Linked DNA regions of Daphnia pulex. The protein of the gene in region 2 purifies or fractionates together with the protein of the main gene of each other region. This does not show direct contact. Links are inferred from orthologs where the notes say so. Each region holds a gene or a part of one and is shown on either strand. Other genes may lie near its edges. The genes, in order: sterol regulatory element-binding protein 1-like and sterol regulatory element-binding protein cleavage-activating protein-like.

Region 1 (15,219 bases), on a different chromosome or scaffold from region 2:
AAATAAATGTGTAACCTTAGGGTTACACCGAAATGATCACTTTTACTGTTGTGAAGAATTTCTACATGGGACGAAACGCACAGCCAGTACTTGCAGCAAGAGACGACATTTTGGGAAACAGCAGATTCAGGCCACATGATCAGATGGAATTGCCAAGCATAAATTGTAGGCTATTTTATCTGTAAATGCTCAAAAAATTTACATTTAATAGCCTCAAATGAATACAAGCAAGAGTTACCATTTTGATGACGAATATTATAATAATAGGGAGAATAAGTTGAGTTGACTTAGGTCGTGAGGCTCAGAGGCTGTCAGACTGTCAGCAGCCATCTAACCATCTTGAAATTAACTCGTAAGGCGCAACATTGCCGTTTTCATTTTTGCAATTAAAAAACGTCCGCATCTGGCATCTATGCAATTTGCAGAGATTCAATCAGCCAAGGCGGCAAATTTTCGACTGTGATCTGTGAATGCAAAGTGTTCAGCTTAACGACAAATTTTTTGAGTGATTAAAATTAAAACAAAATCGTGTTAGAATCTTGAATAAAGAAAATGTCGACCTGATAAGTCTATAGTATGTCTATGCAACCCATTTATTTCGTGGCAATAGACTTAACCCATTTGGAAATAGTAATTAAACAATCGTTTCGAGTTTTTCACACATTTACAAATTTTATTAGTATTGTTTTACTGTTAAAGGAAACCCTGGGGAAGCTATGTCGATTAAAACACCAATGAAAGTAAAAGTAAAAAAGGACTACTGATTTTCCACAAAGATTGCTCATAAATTAGACGGCTGTATCACAATGAGAAAACTCTTCTACAATTTTTCGAGCTGGAATCAACGGTAGTCTGAATCTATTAGCATCCTCCAATAGCGCAAGTTTTTCATTTATCTTCTCGTTCATCGTAACAATTTCCGACATGTAATTCGTAAAGAGTTCGTCAACTCGATGAAACACGTCGGTAATAAATTCTCCGTTGGTTTGAACGGATAGGGCGTTATACTGATACGGTCCTTTCTTTTTGCTAGCCATTCTTTCAACGGCAATTGCTAATAAACCTTCTTTGATGTTTTGTGGAAAGCGTCCATCACGTGGGTCGTTGGGCTTGAAGTTGTAAGTACGTTTTGCCTTGGGTGACACCACCAATACTTTGCGCTGTAGACACTCTCGTTTAGGAATTTTTGACCACATATGAGGCAAACGGATGGGCCAAGGGAAAAAGATAAAAATTTCCATGCGCGCAATTTGCTTCGTAGTCCGGATAAGACGATTCAAGCCAGCCGAGTTCAACAAGCCTTGAATATCAGAGACGGCTAAACCAACGAGTAAATTCATCAAAACTATGACAATCAGAAGAACAAAGAATAGGAAGACTAAATGGGTTGTTCCAGGGAATCTGATTTTTTCGTTGCCCTTTTCATCATAAAACAGAGTGTTGAAATCCATTTCGCCTGTCATCATGACGATTGCCGTGAGAAGCGCGATGGGTATTTCACCAAAAAATTTCGATTTCGGAAAGAGAACGGCCTATACGGGGGAAAACAATAATTAATTGAATAAATAAAATAAATTGAAATAGAAGTCTTCCTACAAATCCTAGCGAAAAGCCGACGATGAGGCAGAAATATGTCACCAGTAGTTTGGACATATTCCATGCAACGGTGGTAAACATCTGGATATACAGACCGAATGCTAAGGAAATCAGCAATTAAAGAATTAATCGATGCAAAACAAAAACAATAATCAAAACAAAAAGAAATTCAAATTACCGGGAAATCGTCCGATATGCAACATCAGATTAATCCAGGCAACGATTACGACTACAGCGGCCACGTGAGTCTGCCAACCAGACACATATCCATCCTCATTCCTGGGAATGACGAGTGCTATTCCGACAACAGAAAAGAGGTGCGCGTAGTTTTCTACATCTGTCACGTATTCATGTGGATTACAATACAGTTGGAAAAGTTCCTTGCACCCTGTCATGGAACCGAAAAAGATCGTCGGCAACCAAAAGTAATCGAGTGAGTAGCTTTTTTGGGTTTGTGAGTCAATTAAATCAGAGTTGTGCACAATTGTGCCGGTTAAATTGGTCGTTCCATTCTCGGCTTTTTCATTCTTACTGCTTACGTATGTAGTGTAAATGTTCAGTGTTAAAAAGAGAACATAACAAAATTGAAAAATGAGTGAGGCCAAAAAAGTGGTACGGATCTTCGTCCATTTCAAATGTAGGAAGGCGCCAATGACTGGATGCTGCAACAGATGATGCTGATCGGCCGCGATCATCGAGGTCAACATGGCCATTTCTCCTTCTTTTTGCTGGTTGCCGCTTGGCACAAGAACTTGTAAATCTAATCGCAATTCGCAATCTGCATCAGTTGGATCGAGTCCTCCGGCTATTTCAATCGCTGAATCCAACTTTTTCGAAATGGTTGACAAGGCGTCTGGAACTCGTCGTGCAACTAAGGCCAGAGCCGTATTCTTTGCTCGATTTTTAGCTGACAGATCAGCGCCCGAGAGAATCAAGAACGAAGCCAATTTCGAATGTTCGTTGATTGCCGCCAAGTGGAGTGGAGTTTGACTGAACTGATTCTTCACATTGACATTGGCTCCCCTGGAAATCAGCAACTTGACGACATCGATCGCCCTACGGCACTTGACGACTGCACTGTGAAGCGGCGTCTCCATCATTCCATCGCAAATATCATGTCGCGCTCCGTAATCCAACAATACTTTGACCGATTCTACCGATTGAGACAAGGCCGCCAAGTGTAAAGGTGTCCGGCCAACGGCTTCCGGCTTGTCAATTTCAGTTGTGCTGGCCTCTAAAAGTAAGCGAAGACATTCGGCTTTGCCTCTCAAGGAAGCTAAATGCAGTGCATTTCTTCGTTCGGGACCGCAAAGGACACTGGCATCGGCTTTATTCTCCAAAAGTAATTTCAAACAGTCGACGTCTCCTTGGAAAGCGGACACGTGAATAGGCGACTCACAGAGAACTTGCAAATTGTTGACATTGGCGCCTGCTTCAACCAACCGAGTGGCACAAGACAAACTTCGGGCCCTAACGGCCCACACCAAAGCGCTTGAACTTCCCCACCCAGCGTTTGCGTCCGAACCATTGCTTAACAGTGCTTCGACCAATTCGATACGGCCGGAAGCGGCGGCACAGAAAAGCGGAGTCGCTTCTTTATTCTGGTCCAACACGTCAACTGTGGCTTTGTAACGGATTAACAGATTGAGACACAAAACGGCGCTGGAACTCGGAGAACTTGCCGCGTAATGCAGGGCACATCTGCCTAGCAAATCCAATGCATTGGCGTCCCCTCCCGATTCAAGGAAAAAAGTCAACATGGCGACGTGCCCATTCAGAGCAGCAAACAAAACACCAACGTCATAACAATCAGGTGGAATTTCCCTCCAGTCAGACTCACCAAGGGAAACATTGAGACGAGGTTTACACAAGCGGACATTTAAGGGACTTTTAGTAAATAATTTTTCATCGATGGCCACCATCAACATCTGTTGGGGCCAAACGCACCAAGTCGTTGGAGAAATCGTTTCACCTTCGTCGAGAACTTCGAAACTTTCCGTGAAATCAAAGCTCGGCGATTCCGTTTCACTGATGCTGGATAAACTGGGGAACGATCGCTGCCTTACATTTTCTCGGGAAACGCTCCTTCTTGACGACAGTCTGACTTTGAAATTGCAATTCTTCGAAGGGTACGACCCTAACTTCGGTCGGGGTAATTTTTGCTGGCGGGGATGAGTTATCGGTCTACGTTGATCTTTGTCATCTGCCAAAATTCTCCCGTAGGTGCCAACACCGAACGCGCCTTGTTCACGGTTATCTTGATTCGACATTTCAATAAAATGTGCTACGTACCACTGGAAATGAGACAGATGAAATGTTGGTGGCCAATCGACTTGAAAGACTGAAGAGAAACGGAAACTTTCGGGAATGCGCACATGAATCTACGATTTGTTGTTATCTTTAAGAAAATCCTCACAAATAGCTCACATTTACGAAACTTACGAAAGAGGAAGGATACGACTACGACCGTATTTGCTTCGATTTTCCATATCGAAAGGAAAGGGATGTGGTAGAAATTTGGCTATGAAAAAATCGTTGTCGATTATTCATCGTGTGGAATAGGACTACGACCGGAAATGAAACGATCTAAGATGTAATTTCCTAAGTAATAATTAGAATACTTTTTAACAAGATCAAACTTTTAGCTTAAACAAGGCTGCGTCCTTTGTTAGAAGGTCAGAGTTAAAAAAAAAGTTGCGCTCGATGCATCTATAGACTAATGGTCAATACCAATTAGGCAATTACAGTCGGCTACTGTATACTATAAATAAAAATTTACTCACCGATTTGCACTCCATGTTTTAGCACCGCTGTTGAAACAAATTGAGCACCGAAACCTTTCTTCAAGAAATGCACTTCACAATTAAGGAAACGATAATTTAAAAAATGTAAGTACTTGCCGATCGAAGATCTAAGTGGGAAATATTTGCATTGCATTTACAGTTAGTAAAACAGCTTCAACTGAAAGTTACCTTTGGTCTACACGCCAATCATTTTCGGTTTACTAGTTGGGAAAAACAAAAATTATATTATTTAATACGACAAGTGTTGAGTACGGTTGCAGTTTGAGGATATTTAAATAATTATACACAGAAACCATAAAAATGCGTATGCGTAGTCTTCAACCGTACATCAGTGCATTTACAAAAAGAGGTTTGGTTGTATTATTACTCATCAGGTGTTTCGTCATACGATTTATAGTCTATTCGGCGAAATTTTGGTATTTTATAATGAATTGATGGGGACACAGATGATTAGATATAATTAATAACATGAAGTAAATTAAGTTGAAATGGATGTACCAATTGCTTTCATTAACGTGTAGCAATCTTGTAACCGTTTCTTATCCCCAATACGTTCCAGCGTTCGAGCTGCTTCAATCAACATTCCAGCTCGTTCGCCCGGTGACGAGAGCAAAGGAGCAGGTAGATGGCGACAAGCCATGTACAGTGCCGTGGCATGTTCTCGTTCGCCGGCGTCCAAGAACGCATTTTTACCTACGTGATAACAATTATCAAGTATTATCAACACAAATACAAAATAATGCGTTTCAATTGAAAAACACCAGTACCTTTGCTACCGCAAATGACCGACTGTTTGTTCTGGCGGTAGCGAAGCGTACGATCAAGTAGCTGTTGTGTTCGATCAGGAGCTGCACCAGCCATCATCCTCAGAGTCGCTTCATGTAGAAATACTCTCGGCAAAGTGCTCTATAAAATCAAATAAATATTGACCTATAACAATGCAACAACGCCCCAAAGAAAAGGACGAGACTTACGGGCAAGTGCTGAACTAGTTTCTTCAAACTAGACAAGTCTTCTTGGAATCCCAATAAAACAGCGGGTTCTGCCACATAATTGACATCCATGTTGTGACCTTCAAAATCATTTTCCCACAAAGCTGTGCGAGTTTCCAACAGCCAATCGCTGACGAGCAATTGGGCAGCCTAATAAGAATGACAGGGCCTTAATTTCATTGCACCAGATCAAATAATCAAAGGATTAACAACATGTCCGACGCCAACAAATGAAATAAGTGAACCAAAATTGCTGTTGAAGAATAGCGGTTGGCATCCCGAGTTGCACTGCCGAAGCATTGCGCGAAACAAAGAATTGACAACGTGCAATGCAACTACAATGCACACGGGCTACCCCCAGTGTGTCGAATCTAATCGTAACAGTGATTCACAATGCGGGGCAAATATAAAAGAACAAACATGCGCCTTCCCTACCTGAACCATGAGTTGAGGGCTTTTGTGAAGTGAAACTTGGAGAGACTCCTTCAAACGACAACCAGCCAGAGAGCATTGTTGAATAATGGATGTGGGATCAGCGCCGCGTAGCAACAAACGCCGCGCCCTGTAATAGGAAATACCGAAAAGGAAATTGTCGATTAAGAGTTTGATGATGACGTCCAAAGAGAGTAAGACGAGATGACGCATCTCCGCTTACCTGTAAGCCCCTAAAACGGCTTCCAGCAGAGGATCCTCTTGCGTCATTTTGGGATAAGCTTCAACTCGAGCGTGCAATTGCTCTGCCTTGTCCTCTTCACACAGGAGCCAATAAGAAGCAACAGCCACGACAGCTGCCCACCATCCGGCCACTTCGTCACCGACACCCAGTCCTTGAATGGTAGAAGGCGGTAAAAGCGAGGAGTCATTACTGGGCGAGACTGCAGCAGTGGCGTTCTCCATCAACTGCTGGGAGTAGCTCAACGCGTCGCCAGTTTGCGCCCGGCGAGAAGGTTCCACATCGCAGGCATCACCAACACGCCGACCGGGCGAAACTAACGTCAATAGAGCTTTCTGTAGGACGTGCTGACGATAGACCTGCAATCACACAGACAATGATGATTATAATTTCGACTGATGATAAGGAAAAAAGGAAAAAAAAACTTGTTGACAAAAATGTCGAACCTGCATGGTAAAAGCCAAAGGATCAGACTTGTTGCCCAGAGAGGTGAACAAAGTCGAGGGGAAATCGTCGTACTCCCAATGATGACTGAGGAAGAAACGATAGCCGGCCGGACTGCAGAGCCACTGCAGACGGGGAGGGGCGTTGCCGTTGAGAGCCTGACAGATTTGGCGAGCGCGGGCTAAATAGAAGCGAGCGCACAAGAAACCTCGCCCACTAAACGAGTGTTTCGTTCGTAGCGCCAGATGAATGTAAATATCCGCCTTGGACATGGCACTCAGTGCAGGGCCGGCAGCTTCGCCGAGATTTGTAGCAGACAGGGCTAAAGCCAAGCCACGATAGCGCTCGAACCTTAAAAAAGATTAATAACAAATAAATAACAAATACACACAGGCACGAGTCCGTCCAATCGTTAGTTTTTATCTCTCTGTTATCAATTTAAACTCAAAAATCAAAAGATCGAATTACCAGTAGTGGCTGTTGGGATCAATGACGTCCTGCTGACTAAGATGCAGCTGGTGAAGTTTGTGAAAACAAAGGGCGGCTTCCGCTAGAAACTCACGGGCCACTCGGCGTTCATCGCGATTCAGGAAAAGTTTGCCAACACGGCCGCTGAGAAAGCGGGTAAATCCGAAGCGATGCAACAGCTGACGCCAACAATTCCATCCGACGCTAGCCACAACATCGACTTTAGATACGGGCACTGTCCGACCTAAGGCGCAAAGGGCTTGTCGGTAGTGAGTGGCTGCAGTTACGTAGTTTCCCTGAATTTAACGAGACAATAGTACCAGAGAGGGGAAAGTTTAGTTTGGGAATACCGACCACAAACAACGAGCCTAAATAGCTTTTACATTGTTCATGTCGCAATCAGCTTGTTTCCTCTGTCTCCAGTAGAGCGAAGCCGCTTTGCTCTGGCGTTCAATGTACGGCTCTCCATGAACAAGAGTGCGGAGGAGGACAAAGAGGAAAACCAAAATGTTAATCCCAACAGCGGCAAATGAGAGGAACCATCCAGAATCATCTCCGAGATCGAGGGGATCTGAAACCAAATGAATACATTTTGATTGCATGTCATGATAGCAATTCAAGTAACAAAACGTTTACCAGCTTCCAGGATAACACGACCGGACGGTTTGCTGTAATGGGAGACGGCAGAGTCTGCATGCGACAGGAACTTGCCGAACGGATTAAATGCGAACACGGCCAGCATCATCATGCAAAGGGCAATACGCGAACGATCCAGCATCGATTGAGCAATAACGTTTCCGGGCGATACCATGTTTCCGTCAATGGTAAACTCGTCGTCAGACTGCACGGAAATTGAAGCAATTAAAACCATCAATCAATTTAAAAAATTAAAATCTGTCGCTTACCGAAGCCGCATAAGTTAAAGGAGATCCGCTACCAAAACTGCTGGGTGGCGATTCGGCCGACGTCGAATTTTCCAGCGATCCTGGAGGTGTAATGTCAATTGGAGGACTATCCCTGCATTCGAACGATAAACCTTTAGCTTTTATACCGACAATATAAAACAAGTATATTTACATCGAAGCTGTCAATAAACCATTGACAGTTTGCTTTTGAGATGCCATTTTTAGAGCCATATTTTCCTTGATTAGCTTTTGATTCATTTGCTGGAGGTAGCGCACATATTCCAGAGCTTTCCTAAGGATGGCAGACTTGCTCATCTATGGACAATAAGATAAATTAAATAAAAAAATCTTTCAGTCGAGTTACAACCAGTCACACCTTAGCTTCTTCACCAGCAATTAGGTTTTTTAATTCCAGTATCTTGTCATTGATGCTGTTTCTGTATCTTCTTTCAATGGCATTGTGGGAACTCTTCTTAATGACAGGTGGCCCATGAGTTGGGCTTGGTGGATTAGAATTGCCATTAAACATGTTTGCTGATCCTAAAACAGCAGATTGGTTGACGTTGACGAGACCGCCATTTGGTTGAACAGTGACAACACTATTATAGCCAAAAGTGTTGCCAAGAATCAAGACACCCAGGGAATTTGTATCCACTCGAATAGGAGTGCCAACAGTGCCCTGCGGATTGGTTTTGTTTACCAATACAGTCTGGGCTGGCTGGATGTGTTGGGGGACACTTTTTGTCTGTATCGGAGCTTGTTTCAATACAGGCTGAGGTGATATTGTTGGTACAATTTTTGTCACTGGAACTGTCTGAATCAATCTTTGTTGAATTGGTTTAACTTCGACAACAGAAACTGGAATGATGGGAGGTTGGGTTGCCACAGGAGGAGGATGGAGAACGGCAGGTTTCTGTTGGTGAAAGTTGTGAGCCTTAATGTTCAAAACATCACATTAAAACAAATATGATTAGACAAATTTCAAAACTTTTTAAAAACTTACTGGTGGAGAGACAGGGCCAAAAGATGAAAACAAATCTTCTCCAGCCAAATCGATAAGTTCGGAATCCTCATGAGGAAACAACTCTGTATAGATGGACAAACGTTTTAGTATTTGTTATCAACAGACATCAAAAGATACTTTTTTTATTACCTCCTAAATCAGTAGGAAAGTTCAATTCCAAATCCATATCATCGGCGCGATTTGACGTATCCATGGCAGGAAACAACAATAACAGTCTTCAGTGTGTGGGTAATCACCTACTAAAAAACATGACGTGTATTCGATTGGAAAACCGAGAAGAAGACTGACGATTTTGTATTCTGGAATTTACGAAAACACAAATACTAAAGGTTTTGTAGCGCGTACTATTCGGTCAACGACGTTAACTATTGCAGCATGCAGACAGTAAGAGGTGGAGCTTCAAATCACGCCAGTTCCTGGCCGTCCAATGACAGAAGAAAAACATCGTATGATCGCCCGAGCGACGTTGCCTATGTTTGCTATTATTTTTCGAAATAAAATTTTGCCCGCAGCAGCCAAAGAGGAAAAAGAGAGATCTTAACAATTTTTCACTTGTTTGCCCTCTCGCAATGTGGGCCGAGTTGTTAGCATTTGAATTTTCAAAGAATGTTTTAAAATACTCGCTGACGTAAAAGAAACCGAGGGGGGAAATTGTTGTATTACCTCTCGAGGCAAACGCTTGTCTATTTTCGACCGAATTGAAGGATTCAGATGTTGTTTTTCCAACTGCCGACATAACAAAAAACACACACATTGTGTTCGGGACGTATTTGGGAATCGGAAGAGCCTTGGTCGGTTGCAACGTACGGTGATCTATTTCGGGCCGACTGCGACCGACGATGCGAGCTGGGCGCATCATTTCGCATTCCCAGTGCATACAAAAGAACATTTACTCACAATACACAAATAAAATAATAAACAGGAAATCACAGATCTAAACTGTGTTAACGCAAAACTCGTTTGTCGAGCGAAATTCGTCGACTCGCGTGAAGGAAGACGCCAGACGAAGAGTCGTCCCACCAAATGTCACGAGAAGAAAACTAATTCGATCCGTTGAACCGGAGAACTGTACTCGTCGCCCGATTGACGTTCATTCGTTGAACCGGTCCCGACTCTTGTCCCGACTGCTATCCAATTACCAAACTCGAGCGAAGAAAACAACAGGAAAAAAGAGACGTCGTTTTCTTCTTCTTCCTTCTCTCCCGTTTCCGTCGACGGGTTGCAGCAACAGCCAGAGTTTCATAGAGACAAAAACTTTCCATGTGCACCCACACTTTCGCGTGTGTGTGTGTATACAAGTACAGAATTACGGTGTATACACTACGGGGGGTAGTAGTAGCAGTAGCAGTAAGCGAACTTGACGGGGGAGGAATCAGTCGTGCGCACCTTTCAAATATCAACGGGATATGAGGAGGAGGAGGATATCCACAGCAAGTTTGACGACGGTAATTAAGAAATGAGACTTTTTGTGTTGCGCAGGAAACACGGTGGCGTGCTAAAGATTTCCATTTCGCTTCGTTTCCTTCATTTAATAATCTCATTCTCAAACTTTAACGTTTAAAACGAAAAAAGGCGCTTGAACGGGAAAAGCGCATTTCGGACTATCTAGTCGGATTTTTGTAACCAACATTCCATCGGGATTTTCGACAGTCCGGAGAAAAAAAGTGCAAAGGCCAAGTCACATCTTCTGATGGATCGCATCATCAGGGGATAATAATGCCGCGCGGAATGGCAATTGTTTTGATGGATGCCGGAATGTGCGGTGGCCGAGGGCCAAGTCGATTGTTCGTTCGACGACGATTCAAATTATTGGCGAGAGGAACATCTAGTAAAGCGAGTCGACAAATGTCTTGATCATGACGACGCCGGGCTATATTTAGGTTATTAATCATCCAACGGGAAAATGGGGCGACGGTCCGTGAGTCGTGACGGACGACAGACTCCATTTGTTTTTTTGTTTCCTTCCCACCTACGTACTTCTGCGGTGGTGGTGGAAAATGCCAAGCAGAAGAATGCAATGTACTGTACTGTATAATGATTAACGTTCCAATCAGAATTGATCAACAGCAGCAGCAATAGAACGGGCGAAGATGATGGATAAAAACGTACGTGCGCACAAATAGTAGGTCCAGCACGACTCGCTGGCGAGTCTCCTTGACGATTCCGCATCCGTCACTAGATTTCGTGTATGTTCGCCTTCAAACTATTTCTGAGCTGGGCCCGAGTGCTGCAGCGAATACGTAACAAATAATGTTTGGGGATGCGCCGAGCTGCTCCCGCACCATGCGTCACGTCAACCAAACGTAGACCACGATGCTGAGCGTCATCCATTCTTTCACTCGTTTCGAAATTCATAACGGGCGGTTCAACTAACAAGGACTAGAAACGAACCTTTTGGCAGGGCGCATCATCGCGAGTCGAAAATAAGCAAAGAAGAGAAAAAGAAAAAAGGAAAGCTGCGGGAGAAAGAAAGAGAGAATAATAATAACGGCGAAAGATAGGAAAGACCAAGACCGTCGTATCAAGAATCGAAAGAGGAAACGATGCGGAACAGCCAGAAGCGCAAACGGCTTTTTTCTCCGTATCTGTGCCGTGACCCAAACCGCCGTATAGTATAGTCATTTCTATAGCGATTGTGAACATCTTTCTCTTTTAACTTTCTTTTGTTTTCTTCTCTCTGGAAGAAAAAATCACGGGCACAGTGGCTTAACTTTTTTCGTCGTCGTATTTCCATTTTTTTGTTGGTTTTTTTTCGGCCGTTGCTGCTGACACACGACGAGATACCAGCGCTATACATAGACCGGACGAAAGGCCGGCGCTGCTGGGCGCTCTGCAGCTTGAAGATGTGACCCGTGGTAGGATACGGAACTTGAAATTTATAAAAGGGGAGTAGTATGCCGATCCGGTTTCGTTTGACGGAGGATTCCGCTATCTGACAACTGGACGGCCATCACGACGAGGCATATCAAGTTATATATCACTATCTATCAGGCCTTATAATTCATGACTTGATGAAAGTCGTGCGTGACAGTTCCTTTTTTCGAACGGACGACTTTTCCCTGGCCGTTGTCATTTCCCTGTTCTTCCTTCTTCGTGATATCCAGCCAGTGGATATAATACCAACTCACTGCGCTGTTGCTAAAAGCACTTTTCTCGATGAATCTAATGAATGAAAAACAAATAAATGTACTACACAGGCGAAATCCTCTTGTGGTTCAAGCACTGGCGGCTGTGGCTGGTCCAATTAGGAATCACGAATGTCGTCGAGTGCCGCTCTCTTGTTCGCCTACTACTGGGGTGCTGGGTCTTCTCGGGTTCTCTAGAGGAGGGACCGACCAAGACGAGCCCGGCAGCTATCCGCCGGATCACAGTAGCCGTCACATATCATTGGTGTGAGATGTGATGAACCTTGTTTAGTCTCTGGTCTAAATAGCTTTTGGTTAAGCGTCTTCGTGTTTTCGTCGTATTCGCTTACCAGTTATTAGGTCAGACATAATACAATAGTCAACTTGACTGTACTACACCAGTTGTATACAAAAGCCATCTCTACCCCGTCGAGCCGAGCGCATTTCTTTTGTGTTATTGGGGTCGGTCTACGTGATTATTATTATCATCTCGTGATAGCTCCTACAGCACATAGCCCCCTTTGCAGTGTGGGGTGCTGTTGTTGTTTTTTGTTTCTTGGTGGTGCCCTGCCTGCCAATCAAATCAAACTGGGGAAATTGAATTTTCGATTCTCTATCGAGTCTAGACAATATCCGACTGAAATGAGGAATGCTGCAGAGTATATCGACGGCGGAGGAGAAGACAATGTCGTCTCTCTATACCTAGGGGAGATTGACTCTGTCGAGAAATGTCAGAATCAGTTTATTTCTATTCGGAGCAAGTCGCCTTGAATCGACAAGGAACGAAAAGAGACGGACGCAAGATTGCTGGCGGGAAAATGTATGATGCAATTATATAGCCAACTCCTTTAGATGCCTCTAGCTACAGTATACTATAGAGTCATCGACATGTGTGTGTGTGTGTGTGCATAGAGAGACATGGTCGGGGGGGGGGGGGGGGGTAATCTAAAGAAATGGGAAAATCAATGCCGCGATTGTTGTTTCTGCTGATGCGTTCGTCTTGTTTGGATTCATCTTTCCCCTCCTTTTTATCAAGAAGCAAACGCGTTCGAAAATGCTGCCGGGATCAACTGGGCGTGCTGATTTCCTTTCTCTCTCTCTCTGCCTCTAATATCAATATATATCTAAGGAATAAAGCCTAGATACTATTGAATCTCTCAATCACTCTACGTGTGTGTACACAACGAGTGGGGCGGGGGTGCGACAGCTCAAGGATCAAGACTTGCTTGATTTCCGTGTCCTCTTCTCTTATAGAGCTACAGACGCACCAGCACATGTCTATAGACGTCTAGCTGCTTTCACATGTGTCAACAAGAAAAAACCCAGGGTGAAATCTCTTTTTCGTCTAGTGCAAAAAAATACAAAAAAATAAACGGAACCAAAAGAATCGAAATGGCCACACCCCGACATAGGGAAGGAAAAAACAAACAGCCTCCGATATGGAGCATATCTCTCCTCAGTGTCTAATATTCATAAATCAATAATGATTTCGTGTGCAAACCGTCAAAAAAAAAGAAGAAACGTATATGCCTACAACCTAAACGAAATCCCATTATGTACCCATCAAGCCGTACAGATGATAAAGCGCTGCCTATACACAAGACACACGTCCCCGCCGCTGCTCAACATCTTGAAAAAGGTCATCCGAGGAAAGAAAAGTTGAGAATCCTCTTATCTCGATTCTCATTTGAAATAGTCAGAGTTAATATATGCAGTAGGCTTAAGATATGGAAATCATCCGGTGGATGATTGGGTCCTACGTGCGGCAAAAGGCGAATAATAAAGCAAACAGATATGATATGTAGACATGGCGCAAGTAGACCAACTTTTCGGCAGAAAGTCGGACACATTCACCACGAGTTCATCTAATACTATCCCCTATACAAGGCGACTGAAAGTAGCAACGGCCACCGCGTCACAATCCTTTTGTTATCGACTAACATCTCTTCTGAAAAAAGTTCCCGAGTCCCTGACGATGGGAATAAGGAGGTCGTCGACAATTAGATAGACTCTCTCTCTCTCGGCTTCTCCAACAGCACGTCTTGAGAGTAGTCTAGTGTTATTGTTGGTCTCTCTGTGAACGAAAAGGGCAGACGGACAGGCAAGAGATTCGTAGAAATGAACTGGGAGAGGAGAGGGTCTAAATTACTGCCCAAGACAAGGGACCACACGAGCGAGGGTGAGAGGAGAATTTAAGGGATTTCACGGCCGTGCTGCATTTCATCATCAAAGGTTTCCCATTGCGCAATTTGAGAGGATTGTCCTCCCCCCACCAACCGCCAACGAGACGACGATGGGAGCGGCTCCCCCACATTTGATCCGATTTGAGATGAACAATAATAACAACAGTTGCACACGGTATAGTGGCTGCTATGTGGGTCGAGTTTAGGCTATATAATAACAACACGTAAATAAAACACAATGCACAAAGGAATCCCTCGAGTATTTACCGTTGAGAGCAGATTTCATTACTAGAGAAATGCCAAAGGGATACACGACAGATAGGCTATGAAATCGTAATGATTTTATGAGGGGGGAGCTAAAACTTGAAATTCATCACGTCTCATTTGCTGGTTTCTCGGCGCTATAACTCAATCACGGGCTGTTGCTTGGTGTTGCCTATATTCTCCCATATACCCGCGAGTTTAATGGAGCTGCAACAGATAAGCAAAACGACGTCTTCATTCCTCCAGAGTCAAAATAATTTAGTATAGTAGGGCGACAGACGCGTTTCCAACTTTACAAGATATTTGTTACTACTATACTAACAAACAGCTTAGTTCCTTGTTAGATTCGTGCGTCACAAAGTTCCGGCCAACCCTCCCCCTCCTCATTGATGCTGCATCCAGTTTGGATTACTGATTTCGTCTTCCCATTTAATAAGGAGACAACACGGTAGTTTCCAGTCAACACAAATGCACCCAGTAGACGATGGCAGTTGCTCAGATTGCAGCACCAATCGACGATCGCGTGAGTTATCCACGTTACGAGGACTAGAATAGAACAGCGCCGCACGTACGTCGTCCGCGGGATGTCCATGTTCCGTGTTCTCTTCGGGTTTGGATATGTCAAGTGCGACGAGGCTCGCTGCTTATTTCGTTATGTAACAATAGATCGGCGGTATAGAGGGCTGGATGGCCGGTTGTCTTTGGGGCTTGTCCCTCATGTCCAGAGTGGAATATATCTGC
Region 2 (15,249 bases):
AATTAAAGTATCTAGCAGGTCACACACCACTCGAATAAAAGTAAGGTGTAATGAAAATCATTACCTAAGCGATGATGCTGAGATTGCTGCTGATGACAGGTCTATGGTTACATCATATCTTGTTGATGGCTGTCTCTGGCCTCAAATATGCACTAAGGAAAAGGTTACATAGTGAACAAACAAACTGCCATGCATCGACAGAGGGGCTTAAATGATAAATGCTGGTCAGGACGAACTAACATTTAAAAAAATTTGGAAAAGGTTTAATTCTTCGAAATTCAGTTTCTATAGTCATTCTATAGGTATTCTTAGTTTTATTTACCTGGTAATCAGCCGTGTGTACGAAGTGATTCTGTAAAGAGAGTAGGCCTAAGAGATGTGACCACAGAGTGGACACGACCACGTTTATTTCGAAACTAAACAAAACAAAAGCAGCAGACGACGCTAACTTCCTAATTAGCCATTTATTTCTTAAAATATCGATATAAATTATTTAAAAAATCCACAAATATAAAAAACACCCACTCAAAATACGATAAAAGTGGTTTTCCCACCCGCACTCGACATCCGCTAAAGGGATCGGAATTATTTTAGAATGATCTAATAACCCTACCACAGACAAGAAAAAAATTCAATATTTACACGAAACCCGCAGATAAATGACTGCCAAGAAGGAATAATTTCCTTCTTATCTTACAAACATATACAAACATAATACATACAAATACCAGGATATAATACCACCATGAACTTAAAAGGTTATATCCTTCAACTGTCGTTCGGGAAAATTCCGCTTGTAATAGCATTTCTTGCGTCCGTGTAAAATAATTCTTATCTTTACATACAAATACCAGGATATTATACTACTATCAACGTAAAAGGCTATATCCTTCAAATGTCGTTCGGGAAATAAGCTCAGCTTGTTGTGGCATTTTTTGAGACCGTATAAATTATCGGTCAAAAAAGCCTGAAATTTAAAAATTTGCGATCACGCATGAATTAACCCCAAGCGTTAAAGATATTTCGTCATCCTGTAACATCTTATACCCATCATGGACTTGTGCAAAAAAGCTCCAATAGAACTAGAAATTTGAAAAGGCCCTTCGACATTGAACACGAACTTTCACGCGACTTCATCTGCATACGAGCGCAGCAGCAGCAGTTTCAAGGGCGTGATGAGAAGAATTTCGAAATGTCAGCTGTAACACACGTTTAATGATTTTTCTTCTCAAGAAAACTTTGAGAATCTGGAAGAAAGAAACAAAAAAAGGTGTTTCCAATTTTTCACAACCAGTTCTCGATCTCAAATAAGAGATTTCGTTCGCAATCAACGCATTTTTTACCTCCAGGAAAATCGTTCGGGAACGACGACCAACAAGGAATTTGATGTCGCGATCTGTTGCCAAGGTCGACTCTACTTCACGCTCGAACCATATGTCTGCGTGAACTGCTGCTCTGTTCTTGCGTCCCACCTGCGACCTTGGTATAGGCAAACCAGTTACTGGCGGTTACCGGTATATATTCAAACTTGCTATTGCTTTGAGGATTCGCTCGGTTGAGCAAATATTGAACGCCAACATAGACATCCACACAAACCACAAATACATAGAAGAATAAATTTTCTTTTGGGAGGCGGCGAATTCGAAGTCTGCAGGCCGCAGGCTGTTTTTTCGTGATAGTGCCCATAAACATCAAAGCTTGCGCCTAGAGTTCCAGTCACGGACCGTTTGCTGGAGGGAGGAATTAGTCTAGTTACTATAAAAATTCAGAGTCCCTCTGAGACGGTTTCCTATTTGACAATCGCAGTTGTTAAAGAATTGGGATATATTACTAGCAACGCGAACCACTCAATACTTAACAGACAGACCGGAAACGGTGTGAAAGATACCCATGATAGACTGGTACTACTCCGTGAACCAATAAATATGACATTTTCGTGGACGTGAAATCGTGAGATATCCAGGAAATGTGACGTCAACAACACGTGAATGTTCTACGCTCTTTGTCTAGTGTTACCGAAACGTTGTGAGGAGATTTTTAACCTTGACTAAGCTCGTTTCGAACGAACGGCAACAACCATCCTACCTGAGGGATACAGCGGGCGTTCTTTTGACTAGAGTGTGTAGCTGCGGGCACGCTCAAAGTATATAGTGCTAGGGGGCGAAAGTGCTGGAGAAGACCGTGCGTTGTGAAGAAACTCAATTGTAATACGTTTGAAGAAAGATACTTAGTCTTTGAGCACACTTCCACGCGGGCGAATGTGTCGGCTGGTGCTCGCTCCTGACACGGACGCGTTTGATCCATTTCTCGTCCAGTTTGCTGCGGTCTACTAATTGCGATCATGGTCCAATCCGGTTTCTACTGGATTAAACACAGCCCTCCGAATTTCCAGCGCACCCCAATTTGAACGATCGCCTACATCTGGTGACCAAAGAAGAGAAAATGGGATTACTTTCGTGTGCCAGCGTCGTTGTGATAACCGTGTTAGCGGAATTAACCTTCGGAGACAAAGTATTCCCGCAAAAGTGCTGCCCTGGAAATCAGGTGTTGGACGTGGAATTGCGCAAGTGCGTCGATAATCCCGCGGTGTTCAAAACCTACCAGGAAGAATCCGGAGTCAACGATCCACTTTTACAGTGTTCCGATGGATGGGAAACTTTCAAAATGGAAAACCAGTCCGTCGACGGTGCCATTGTAGAACCTCGCTACAATCAAACAATAACTCAGTATTGTGTTCATTCCACTGCGTTTAATGATGTTCGTAACGAGACTGTCGTAGCCTACTGCCGCACTCCAGCGCAAGTGAAAAAATGTTGTCCGATGGGCCAATCAGTCAAACGCAATTCGATCATGGAGTGCATCGCCAACGATCGAGTTTTCAACGCTTCCAAAATAGTTACTCCGGCCGGATGGCCATTCAAAGTCGTGGAGAATTCTTCGTTGACTTGCGAATATGATTTCAACATTTACGTGCCAAAAATGTTCGTCGATAACAGATATGAGGTCAACGCATCCGGCTACTTTGTTGTGAAAAGAGCCTTGTACAAAGTATTGCGTCATTCCGACAATTATTGTGTTGATACTGCTGTCGATGCTGAGGGAAACCAAGAGGTATAGTTATATCAGGGTCCTATTAAATGTTAATTTACTACAATGAAGAAACTTTTTCTTTTGATCCCCTTTAGGATATTGCCATGATATGCCTGCCGTGGAGAATGAAATTGGTGCGGTATCTCCTGTGGGGTGTCTATTCGTACCTTCATTACGTCTCGGCTTTCTTCCTCATTTTGACGTTGGCCGTCTATGCCATCTTCCCTCCACTTCGTGATAACATCCAGGGGTACTCGATGATCTGCTTCTTGATTTGTATGATTATCGTACAACTCGAATACGGAATCCTGCTTTCACTTCCCACCGAACCCCACACCTGGTGTTTTTTCAAAAGTAAGAATCTCATATAGGTTAAAATTTATTATTAAAAATTTTATTTAATTATATATCCTTACAAAAAAATTTCTCTTCACTAGCGATTGCTAGTAATTATTTTCGGTATGCGTCCTCAACCTGGATTACCGTGATGGGATTCAACATCTGGAACCAGTTAAAGTAATAACTCACTTTTTTTTACGGCCCTCTCCTTTTGGTGGAATTTTATTTTTCAAATGCAACTGTTTATTTTTAGTTCAGGTCCCAGACCATCAAATAGACGGGACTTGCTCATCCGTTTTGTATTGTGTTCCGTCTACGCTTGGGGATTGCCATTCGTACTACAAATGGCTGTGGTTATTTATCGTGATAGTTTGGGACCACCTGTCCGTCTTTGTTGGTTTGGAAATCCCATAAGTAAATTTCAGTTATTCGTCTTCTTCCTGCAATAATAAAATTAACACACATGGATTATTTTTCAGTCAAACATTTACTGAGCACACCGAACGTCATTCTGGTGACGGCCAATTTGATTTTCTTCATTCCAAGCGCTCTTAAAGTTCATGGAAGTCTCCGTTTCCTTAAAACTTCTGTTTCGCCCGTGGCTCTCAGCAAATTGGAAAAACAAAGGTTATATCTAAATATGAATAGTTTCATGGTGATGTAACAAATGTTGCTTACCGTTCCTTTTTTTTACGCAGGATTACGACGATATTCCGTTTCTTCTTACTGATGCAGTTTTACACGATACCGAGAATCGTTCACGAAATAGTCGATTCAGACAATGCCACTCCCGAATTGCTCATCTTCAGTATTTCTCTCTACATGTTGATCGGACCGGCCATGTTTTACTTTTTCGTTTGCAAAACCGAAGTTTACAAAATGATTAGGGACCGTGTGGTCAAAATCAAGGAATCTGCTTCACGTGCCACCAGTAATTCGACAAAAATATCTTCGGGCTCCGTGAAGTTCTGGCGCTCACGATCATACCAAACTTCTTCGGATGAATCTCCTGCAATTGAGACCAGCGATTCCAAGCCCTCAAACATTGAGGCAATCAAATATCAACAAAATGGAGAAGACCTTGGAGAAGACAATTTAGCATATACAGGCGAGGTTCATTCAGCCTAAGATTTGGATGGAAAATATGCCAATTAAAGATGCGCGAAAACATACTCGTGGTGATTGGTACAAAAAGTGGTTATTGTGTTGAATAGACTATCATTGAGCTTTCTAGAAATATTGACAAATTTTATATTGCAATCCACTTGATGAAAAATAAATTATGTTTAAGAATAGTTGTCACTTACACTTTTTGAAGGCGTATTTCTCAGAAAATAAAATTTCTTCCACTGAACCACCTAAAATATTTAAAAACAAAAGGGTTGGAACATCCCTTTAATCTCTGGTCAAAAAGGGAAACTAAAAAATCAGGTAAATTAGAGTTAAACGGATACCAAACACGTTGAAATTTGTTTTAAACCAACATTGTAATGGAAATACTGGTGCCGAAAATAGATTACGTTTTACGCATGACTTGTTCAGTAGTTTGCATGTGTTAGATGTCGATTATGCAAAAACCTTTTTTGTATTCTGAAGGACAATTAAAGCAATAATTCATAAAGTTGCTATAACGACAACATCTGTGGTTGAATTTTCAGCCGGGAAATAACTTGCTGTGGCATACAGAATACAGGATTAATAGTTTTAAGACTAGATTCACCGAGAAGAGATAAACCCGCTAAACCAAAGAGGGTGTGAAATGGATCGGGCATGTCATTTGGGCGATCACTAAATCCGCCTGTCTCGACGTCTTGACAGGCCATAATAAATTTTCTCAACTGATTCTTATCAAGCCAATCAACTCGCCCAATAATCCGCAAAGACGCAACTACCCACCAAGAGTAGCAAACATCCGGCAATTTTTCTGGTCGACCATTCAAACCTAAATAACAATTGAGTTACATAGTTTAAGAGACGTCTATTTGAAAGATTTCTAAAAACAAAAGTAATTACCGCCACTCGGCAACTGCCGTTCACATAGCCACCAGCCAAGGCTATCAGCTTTGATCAAATGTAAATGACCTGTAATCGACAGCATACCAACACAGCAATACACTTGACTGAAAAGGTAACCACAAAAAAGAAACAGTATTATTTCTTCCTTTGTAATTATCTCAACTTAGAACTTACCCAGAATGACTTTCAGAGCCAGGTCTGCATCCAAACCCTCCATCAAAATTCATACATGAGATTACAAAATTTACTGCATTATCAATATTAATAGCATCCAGCCTTCCCTGGAGTAAAAATGTGTACAAAAATATGTGTTAATCATAAAAAAATTGCAATCAGTAAATCCACATACCAAAAGAGCCAAGCATGCAACTGCACACATAGAGAACCTTGTATCAACCTCACCCCATTGATCACCACAGAAACTTCCGTCATCATTTTGCAACTTTTTGACATAATTCACAATTTTTTCACAATCGATTGCATCAAGTGCATCATACAGGCACAAAATCTGAAGAAAAAAAATTCAATTTTCAGATGCATATGAAGTGAGTCAACTCTCATTACCAACCTGAACAGCACTCAAAGTGTAGAGAAGGTGAGGATCATGATCTACACTAGCTCCTATACCTCCATTTTCATGCTGGCATTGCTTTATAAATAAAATAATACCATCTCTGTCCATCTCACCAAGTTTGCCCATCAAATCCATTGCTGTTAAACTCCAATAGATTCCATTCATTCTCAAGTACTCTGTCATACAAAATTCATAATCATCCTTATTGTTTCCATATGCTGCCAAGAAACTTGCATGCTTTGGCAGCAACAGATTAGGTATATCAGCCTCCTTCGGTAGCACTATGTCGTTCATGAGAAGGGCCTAGTTCACATGTTCAAATAAACCATTTATCATATCAAAACTGAGACCGGCTTCCTCAAAATAATCATCTAAATATACGTACCATAATTGAAATTATATCTGTTACGCGGGAATGGTTAAGGGGTAGCAAGGGGTAGTGGATAATAGGTTCCAAGCTATCCAAAAATTATGGATTGGTGGATTTTCACTCTTAACAATGAAATTAAAAATTTATTTTGCAAACACAGGCACACAGACCACTTTGACGTAAGTTAAGCAGCATGAGCAGCTGACTGTTAAGGGGCTAGCAGACGGATCTTTTTCGATGCGACAGTAGCGCCATCGAAATTATAAGACATAATGAAGATTTTTAATTTTTTGAAGACACCATTTTTACGTAAATGAAGTCATGATCTCTAGGATAAACAAATTCCAATGAAAAAAAGTCGGTTTATTCAATCGGCAACAGTTTTGGTATGTTTTGTTGTAGAATTCAATAGCCTCTATGTTGTCATCCACAAACCCAATCACATGTGACACGCTAAAGTAAAAGAAAAAAAGAGAATCTGAAAAAGACAATGAAAAAGGCTGAGGAAAAAGGGGGAAAAAAAGGGAAGGAAAAAGACCAAAAAAAGCTAACAATTTTTCACAATAATTTACTCGACTTTGTGGGTGGAAATCATGGGGAAAGAAACGATGCGAAGCTGCGTTCCGTAGTCACAGATGACGTTGTCTCTGACGACCATGACGTTACGAACAAAAGTACTCGAGTCGGCATCGCCAAGACGAACTTCACGGATCGATTCTCCCGTTCGGACATCCCAGACGACCAGGGATCCTTGCCGACTGGTGACAAGTAACCGATCATTGAGCATAGCTAAACTGCCGCACAGAGCCAGACGGGACAAGGAAAGAGAATTGAGCAGATGACCCTGAAATCGCTCCCAAACGCACAGCTTGTCATCGGCGCCCAAGCTGATGACGTACGAGGAGGTGTAAGTCAGGACGGACACGCTACCGTCATGAGCCTGCAAACTGTAGACGCAAGTCCCGCTGGAGAGATCCCACATGCACAGCATTCCGTCTTGACTTCCGCTTCCCGATGCGCTGCAGGGGTAAGCTTCGTCGATAAACATGGCCGTGATGGGTCCGCGATGCCCGTGAAGACAGTAGAGGGCTGTCAAGGTTTCCAGTCGCCAGACTTTGAGGCAATGATCCAGCGAACCCGTAACGACGCGGCTGCCACTAGCCGAAGCGTCCAACACTGAGATGGGCTGTTGGTGAGCTCTAGCCCAGTTGAGCCGGACCAAACGGAAAGCTAATGGAGATGATCGGTCCTCTTCGTCGTACTCGTCGGCGCCACGACGAGAATGAACGTGGTGGCTGACATCTTCCACAGGACTGTCGAAATCGGCGTGAAACTGGAACGACTCCAGGACTCCATTCAATCGGGCAGCTAGAAGATACTCGCCACAAACTTTGAGTTTGGCCACTCCGACACCACTGCCGTCGTCGTAAAGACAACGCAAACCGGAATTATGGCTCCAAATTTCAATGCGTCCGTTGGCACAGCCCAGTGCCACTTGGCCATCGAAGCATTGCATGCACCAGACGGGCGATGGAAAGTAAGACGTTTTATTATTTCTCGTTGGACTAGTTCTGTCTTTCCAAGACAGGTTGTTAGGGCTGGCCGGAGGAGAATGAAACGAGCCCGGGGATCTAAATACAATCGGATTAGAAACGGCGTGACTCAACAGTCCGCCCAGTTCGTTAGTGGATGAGTAAGTATCGTGGCGTGGAAAATTGGGAGAGGCCGGCGACGTTTGTTGCTGAAAAGCGGCGAAATAAGTGTTTCTATCAATTTGAGCTACGGCATCTCCCGTCTGGATGTCCCAAATGTGGAGCTGGCCGGCCAAGCAGACACTCGACACGACATCTCCATCGGTGGATATGCATTCGATGGGCGAACGATGACCGTCGAGAACGAGAGGCATAGATTCTGCTACTATCTGTGAATAGTATTCGCGAGACTCTTGCGTCAACCCACCACCAGCATTGCCGGCCCAGCCCCAGAAAGTCGAAGAACTCCTCCATTCGGCGTAGTGCCGAGAGCAGATGCAACGATATAACACGACAGTCACGTAGGCGATAAACACCACGCTCGGTATGGCTAATAAAGTGGTTAAAATAATTTGAATGGGCGACGAAGGAACGTAGGGAGTCTTGTTGTCTTCATCGGAGCCACCGTTTCCGCCTGATCCGCCGCCAATACTTCCGTCACCATGGCTTCCGGACAGGCCGAAATCACTATCGTCACCGTCAAGAACATCAAGCGTATCGAGAGCTGATGCCAGAGATTTCCATCGCGATCGCGTCAGGTACTCGCCATCGCGACTGTTGCGCACTTCTGACACTCGTTCTGGGTTGACTGGGATAGAGATTCGAATCGGAGGCAACATGGCTATGCACTTTCCGGCCAACGAGATATTGTAAATGTCCAGCAGGTCGGGCCAGTGGCGATAAGAGAGCCTCCTCCAGAGCTCGACGTTTTTGGGATGTTGTAACCGATTCTGCCAATCGATTACTTCTTTGCCGCTGGATGACGTAACTGATAGTTCTGGTGCGGCCGAATTGGCTAGAATCGTGGATTCTTTCAAAAGATCTGGTTCTTCCGGTTCAATACAGTTGGATCCGGCAGAACACGAAACTTTGAGATTAGGATGTGGTGCTGGAAATTCAACCTGTGAAGAATCATTGGCTTCGACAGACCATCCGGCCGATTGATCAGCCAAATTTTCCATCACTACGTATTTGTAAAAGAAAATGCTCATCCATATGACCACACCCACCATAAAGGTACGCTGAAACAAACGCGTGCGAGCCCAAAAGTGAACGATCCTTATCCGACGTGGTACTCTGGCCGCAGCTGATCGATTGTGCGTGTAGGAGGATGGTGCTACGACGGCCGTTGGGGTATTTTTGGCTGAAACAGCTGCTGAGTGGACTCGGGTGCGCAAGTGGGGATGGACAGCATTCCCCGTAAATGCCCTTTCTGCTGAACTGAGAGTATGGACGGTGTGGTTGGTCGACAGGTACTGCTGACCAGGTTGAAGCTGCCGTCGTTGGCGCTGAATTTCCGACAACTCTTTGCGCAATATGTCGATGGACAGGACGGTGGAGAAGAACAGCATTTGCAGAACGAAATCGGAGAGAAGGGCGACGACGGCGAAGAGGCAAAATTCTTGAATGGCCGGCACGAAGGTGAAGAAGCCCACCGTCAAAATAGTCACTTCTGTTAACAAATTTTTGGTTATGTTCCATCCTTCACGACTAAGTCCCTGTGCTACACGGATCTTGACGTCCAAATTGGCTGGAGTAGAGACGACAGAGCGAGTCAAAACTAAGATGTTCTCCAGACCAACGATCACCACTAAATAAGGGAAAATGTCTCGTCCCTGAAGAGTGAAGCGCAATCCGAACCACGTGCACAGGCCGACCGACATGCCCAGCGATGCTACCACTGTCACTACGGCGCTGAAAGCCATGCCAAACTTGGATTTAACCATTTCGATCTTGCGAACAGAGAAGTAAATGTACAGGAACAGGATTAAGTAGACAAAAGTCAGCGGGATGAGCTCCAAATAATTGAAACGTTCGGGATAGTAAATGTGAACGATGGTGCGTCGAGATGATGTGGATTCTTGAGTGGTGGAGTGGAGAGGAAATTGATTGCGGAGCTTTAACCGCAAGTCATAAAGAAACGGTTCAGAATGAGTTTTAAGTAAGATTGTGATAGCGTACGTAAGGACGCGAGAACGAGTCTTGACTGGGAATTTTTTCAATCCACTATTTTTGAGCGGGACGCCGTAAAGTATGTCGGCCATACTTGATCGCACTTCTACCACTGGGTTCTTGAAAGAAAATATGGTGTCTAAGAACTGAGCGTCGTTGCGGAAGGTATTTTCGTCCAGCTTCCACAAATTGGCCGGCGACAAAATGATGCAGCTGAATTCGGGTAGAAGATGTTGAAACGAACGAGCTCTAGGGGCCACACTCTCCACGTAAAGGCAAACATCTCTAAGAGTCAGGTTACTCCTAGGTGAATGGAAACCCACTACATCAGAATGCAGCTTGAAGACTTCACTCAATGGGCCTCGAAAAGCATCCATCATGCCCAAATCAGACGTCCATGGATTGACAGAGGACCGTACAACTATTTGTTGTATGAAAAAAGATGGTTGCTGAGTTCCCCATCTGGTTGGATACTGAAAGCTTTTTCCAAATTCAAGATCAGAAGAGATTCTTTTCTCTGGAAGCGGGAAAGATATCTCCTCTGGTTCATTGCCTGGAAAAGGCAAGGACAATAAAGGATGACACGAAGTGAGAACAATAATAATTGCCACTATGATTGTGCACCAGGGGTAGCTAGAACACAGAAGGCCATGTTTGTAGTAGAGGAGTGCTACCCTGTCGGGTATACTCAGGCCTTTGGTGCTTGAATTCAGTCCACTTCCATTAGCAAGTCCAGCCGAATCAACATCTTTGACGGCGGGATGATGACCAATTTGTGGCTCAACAAAAGGCATGTTTGAGTAAGTCCAAAAATATTAAAACAAACTGTAGACGACGAATAGTGAATAAATTTCACGACATTTCGCCACACTTTCCAGTATTGGCAATATTGGGAATGACCTCCGAGAGCAAACGTTTCTCCTAAACAAGAAAATCAATATAATAAGAGATTTTTTAATTTAAAACCGGCTGCAGATTCAATTTTAATCTCTATTTACCTGTCGAAAATGCCCAAAAAAGAAAAACATGTCAACTAAAGATCAATGCCTTGACACAACTGGAGCGTCTAGTGCAGAAAATTGTAACGTGGTGGTGGAATTAAACAAGAAAAGAAATAATACAGTACCTACCAGAGTTGTCCTAAAATTTGTTTACAAAAATAGTTAAATTAGTAAAATTCGTTTGCCAATATGTTTTATGGTTATTAAGTTATTTAGTTTTAAATATTGCCGATTCCGCAATAGTTCACTCAGCCGCCGCCGCGCACACAACTAAACATTTATCGGTATCGCTAGATGCCGTTACTAGTTCTGTTTACTTGTAGTTATTCGCATGTTATTCGTTTCGCGATTGCGTTCGTTATTAGTCGGATAAACTTGTCAAAGTGTTGAATTGTAAGAATGACTTCCAAAGGGATCGAAAATGTGAATCCACAGTTATTTACGAAGAAGACAAAAAGAGAAATAACAAGTGAAGAAGAAGATGAATCAGTAGAGGATCCCATAGATGAGAGGGAAATATTCGGTAAAGACTTTCGCACTTGCGTAATACATCATTAAACAAATTCGCTTATCTCTCCATAATTATAGATTTGCTAAGGGATATCAATGATCCTGAGCATCCTATGTCACTTGAAGAACTGAATGTTGTACAAATCACGAATATAGAAGTAAAATATGAAATGTCTGATTTCACACAAAATCATTACCTCTATTTCCTTTATGTATGTACAGGTTGATGACAAAAAAAGCAGTGTTAAAGTCTTTTACACTCCAACAATCCCTCATTGCAGCATGGCAACTTTAATAGGACTGTCCATCAAAGTGTGTCTTCTCAGGTCTCTACCACCTAGGTTCAAAGTTGAAGTAAACATTTCCCCAGGTTCACATGCTTCAGAGGAAGCTGTTAATAAACAGCTAGCTGACAAAGAAAGAGTCTCAGCCGCTTTGGAAAACAGCAATCTACTTGAAGTTGTTAATCAATGCTTAGTAAAAAGTTTGGAATAATAACCATTTGATCAATACATTATGGATGAAAATGCAGTTTATTTTGATGGAACACATTCAAATCTATTCAGTGACAATTACTTTACATTGTCCCTGTTCATTTACATTCAATTAGAACCATGAAAGTTGTAAACTACTTTAAACCACTTTGCTTCATTTGAGCATCTTTGGACCCCAATTATGTCATTTAAAATATTTACCTAAAAACAAAAAGAAAAACACATTGCTTTTAAAAATAAGATGATCCAGTACTCTCAACTGCAGGGAACATTTCATTGCAGAAGCCAGAATTCTGGTCATTCAGTTTGAACGTGCGACCTGGGACGAAATCTTGGCGTTTCTTCTTTTTGTGAATCCAGTGCTTAGTTCCCGGAATGCTTTCGCGCTTCTGCACAGTGTAACTAAACAACACAGGGATGTTAAGTTAGTTCGACGCTGAAAAAATAATTGTGACACTCACTCTATGTTGAATTCAGCTTGGCCCATACGCAAGCATAAAAGAATTCCGTTAGCAAAGCTAACATCATTGACGAAATCGACCCGAGATTCAGCACCCACAGTGAAATCAACAGATGATTTAACAAACGGCGTGTTTAAATTTAATGACCCCTCTAGCTCCCATGCAGCGCTGAAATGAAAATATGAGTTTTATCATTATGATCAGAAATCCAGTCTGTAAATTGACTTACATATCTTCGACAACTGAATGAGAATTTCTGTTCCAAATACTGATTTGGATTTCGCCACCAAAATCAAAAGAGACAGAACCACGCACGTCGAGTGTAGTAACAAAACCACTTTGGAGTGGTACGACATTACGATAATCCTGAAGCAGCACAGTAGCCTGTTTATGAATGTCAATAGAAATGTCAATACCGAATTTAGTTTCTGTATACTTAAAACTCTGAAAAACAAAATGTAATCTACCTGTAGGGCTGTGGTTCTTTCAGATGCTGTGCCAGACCTGGACATTGGCAATGACAAATGGTATTAGTTCTATGTTACTAGAATTTTACTAATTTGGACCAGGTTAAACTCTTCTTTTCAAGGTCCAATAAGCATTCCATTTGCATTTTTAGTTTTGTTTACCTGCCAAAACAGCATGGAATATAGTAAAATATATACACTTACCAGACATGGCCCATTAGCTCGCTTTGACCCGAGAAGAAAATAACAGGTCTTAGCTGGACACCAGCAAGTGTGACTTCCATGCCTGCTGTAGGTTCTTCTTCGTCACCTTCAGTAGAAAAACCCATCAAAGAACCCATTCCACCGGTAAAAAGTCCGACCTATTTGTTACCATACCATTATAAGTTGATGTTTGAAATATTTTAGTTTCTTATATATTGTGGATAACAATTCACAAAATTATACCGAGAGTAGCTGAAAAGTGTCTTCGGGGTTTCGCAAATAAACATCAAAAGCGGCGCGTTTCATCATTTTGTTTGCCGCTTCAGTGGAAGAACTAGAATAATAAAAGGTTATCTATGAATGCGTACTTTGGTTAAATATCAAAATTTGCACCTAACCTAAAGCTTCCATTGCCATCAACGTTGCGATACAGATCGCGAGAGAAGGTCGTTGACATTCCATTCTGGGCGAATACGTGATAATTGTTAAGAGAAGGTCGGTCTGATAAGATTTGCTTCAACTGAGAACGGACAACTGGGTCATTTCCGGCATATTCTTGCAATCGCTGCAGTGAGTAGGTGTTTAGCTCCAAATTTTCGCTGCCTCCCATCGAAAGAGAAATCAAGACGTTGATAAGAAAAGTGCTGTCAGGCTGGTGATCGAGCAACATATCCAATGCCAATGTGCGAGCGCTCGAGTCGTAAGGACGATCAACTTGAAAGTAAATAATCTCCAATTTTTGTTTAACACGATCGTCGAGGAAGACGGAAGCGGGAAGAGCTTTTAAAGCTTTAACTGCCCATACTGATGTCTTCTTATCCTGGCTGTCAATGTGGGTCAAAATAATGGGTAGCGTTTCTGGCGAGCCCAAGTTTTTAAAGACTCGCATGTAAAGTTGGTTACAATCTTCGCTGGCACAAGTTTTCAGGTTGTCCGTAAAGTAGGTGGTGATATCTTTAACTAGCTATTTAATTAGGAAAAGTAAAAGCTTTAAATATTACAATGCGAAATTTATAAAAATAAAATGCATACCTTGTCACTTGCTTTCTCTTGCTGATTTATAACAAAAGTTTTTGTAATCGCAGCCAAGCTCAGCAATGCTGTTTCGCTGAGTTTTTCTGACTTGATTTTTTTGGATAACTTCAACAAACCTGAAATACAAGTTGTTATTTCAAAATTTCCAGTGCCTGAATTATGTTAGTAAATATAAAAATGATAAACTACCGCCAAGTAGATATTCAGATGGTCGAGTCGATAGTGAAACTACTTGCAAGAATCGCTCAGCCAGATCAATGTTTTCAGACTGAAAGTTGATCGCCTCCAAAGCAGCAGCATAGCTTTCAGCGGTTTGAGCGGCTGCGACTACATCGATCAGTTGCGGTCTTAAAAAAAAATACGCGCTCATTCACGGAATAACTTAAATAGGGTTAGTAAAAGCTTACAAAATTTGTTTGTTCTTGGAATCTTTTAACAGAACCAAAATATCATCTTTGGACGATTGCCGAACGACGGGTAAAAGCGTGACGAATGCACTAGCGCCCAAACTAGTTGCGACTTTTGAGGTTTGGAGGTTTTTCCTTACTTCGTTGACAGCCTTTTTAAGCTAAAAAAAAATAAAAATAAAATGAGCATTCAGATTTTTCGATGTGAAATGGAAAAAATATAATGTAATACAATTACAAACATTTTTGCAAGATGAGGTCTCACAGGCGAGTACAGATGATTCTTCCACTAGCTGAAGGTTATCCTCGACGAGATTTACGTTGGTATTCATCGTAACGGATTGAATAACTTTGGTCAATGACACTGCGGAAATTTTCTTTTTCGATTTGGATTCGCCTGAAATGAAATGTATATACTTTTAAAATACGTCCCATCCTAGTAACTGATTTTCAGAAAATTTATACCGTTTAATCGGAGGTATTGACGTGATACTACAGAGGCTCCGGCTTGAGAGCGCAGGTTTACTCTGATGCTGTGGACTTCGGTTGACGTCAATGTGTCTACCACATCTGAATC

What was found.
Region 1: the proteins of sterol regulatory element-binding protein cleavage-activating protein-like (region 2) and sterol regulatory element-binding protein 1-like purify together in Homo sapiens (affinity purification with western blotting; 4 studies listed by BioGRID and IntAct, with this or other methods). This does not show direct contact. The link is inferred for Daphnia pulex from reciprocal best matches to the Homo sapiens genes SCAP and SREBF1.

What each region holds. Positions count from the first base shown.
Region 1 is NC_060018.1:507,564-522,782, reverse strand, and holds sterol regulatory element-binding protein 1-like, read right to left. Parts: upstream 9,377-15,219; 5' UTR 9,252-9,376; exon of another isoform or gene 9,146-9,251; 5' UTR 9,100-9,145; coding exon 9,036-9,099; intron 8,969-9,035; coding exon 8,886-8,968; intron 8,817-8,885; coding exon 8,259-8,816; intron 8,198-8,258; coding exon 8,055-8,197; intron 7,995-8,054; coding exon 7,883-7,994; intron 7,819-7,882; coding exon 7,614-7,818; intron 7,549-7,613; coding exon 7,361-7,548; intron 7,274-7,360; coding exon 6,978-7,273; intron 6,861-6,977; coding exon 6,512-6,860; intron 6,425-6,511; coding exon 6,048-6,424; intron 5,955-6,047; coding exon 5,828-5,954; intron 5,543-5,827; coding exon 5,375-5,542; intron 5,307-5,374; coding exon 5,168-5,306; intron 5,094-5,167; coding exon 4,899-5,093; coding exon of another isoform or gene 4,879-4,898; exon of another isoform or gene 4,799-4,878; coding exon 4,764-4,798; 3' UTR 4,737-4,763; downstream 1-4,736. Other genes in the region: transient receptor potential channel pyrexia-like, read right to left, coding at 789-1,532, 1,597-1,697, 1,775-3,866.
Region 2 is NC_060019.1:10,890,204-10,905,452, forward strand, and holds sterol regulatory element-binding protein cleavage-activating protein-like, read right to left. Parts: upstream 11,191-15,249; 5' UTR 11,092-11,190; intron 11,015-11,091; 5' UTR 10,888-11,014; coding exon 6,958-10,887; 3' UTR 6,732-6,957; downstream 1-6,731. Other genes in the region: uncharacterized protein LOC124191180, read left to right, coding at 2,443-3,111, 3,186-3,444, 3,528-3,606, 3,683-3,843, 3,909-4,056, 4,128-4,557; geranylgeranyl transferase type-2 subunit beta-like, read right to left, coding at 5,055-5,371, 5,443-5,549, 5,620-5,726, 5,795-5,953, 6,014-6,322, 6,405-6,407; cytosolic iron-sulfur assembly component 2B-like, read left to right, coding at 11,494-11,617, 11,683-11,762, 11,827-12,099; microsomal triglyceride transfer protein large subunit-like, read right to left, coding at 12,329-12,500, 12,560-12,727, 12,789-12,943, 13,027-13,063, 13,231-13,388, 13,474-13,564, 13,629-14,194, 14,263-14,381 and 4 more. UniProt on the Homo sapiens protein: Escort protein required for cholesterol as well as lipid homeostasis.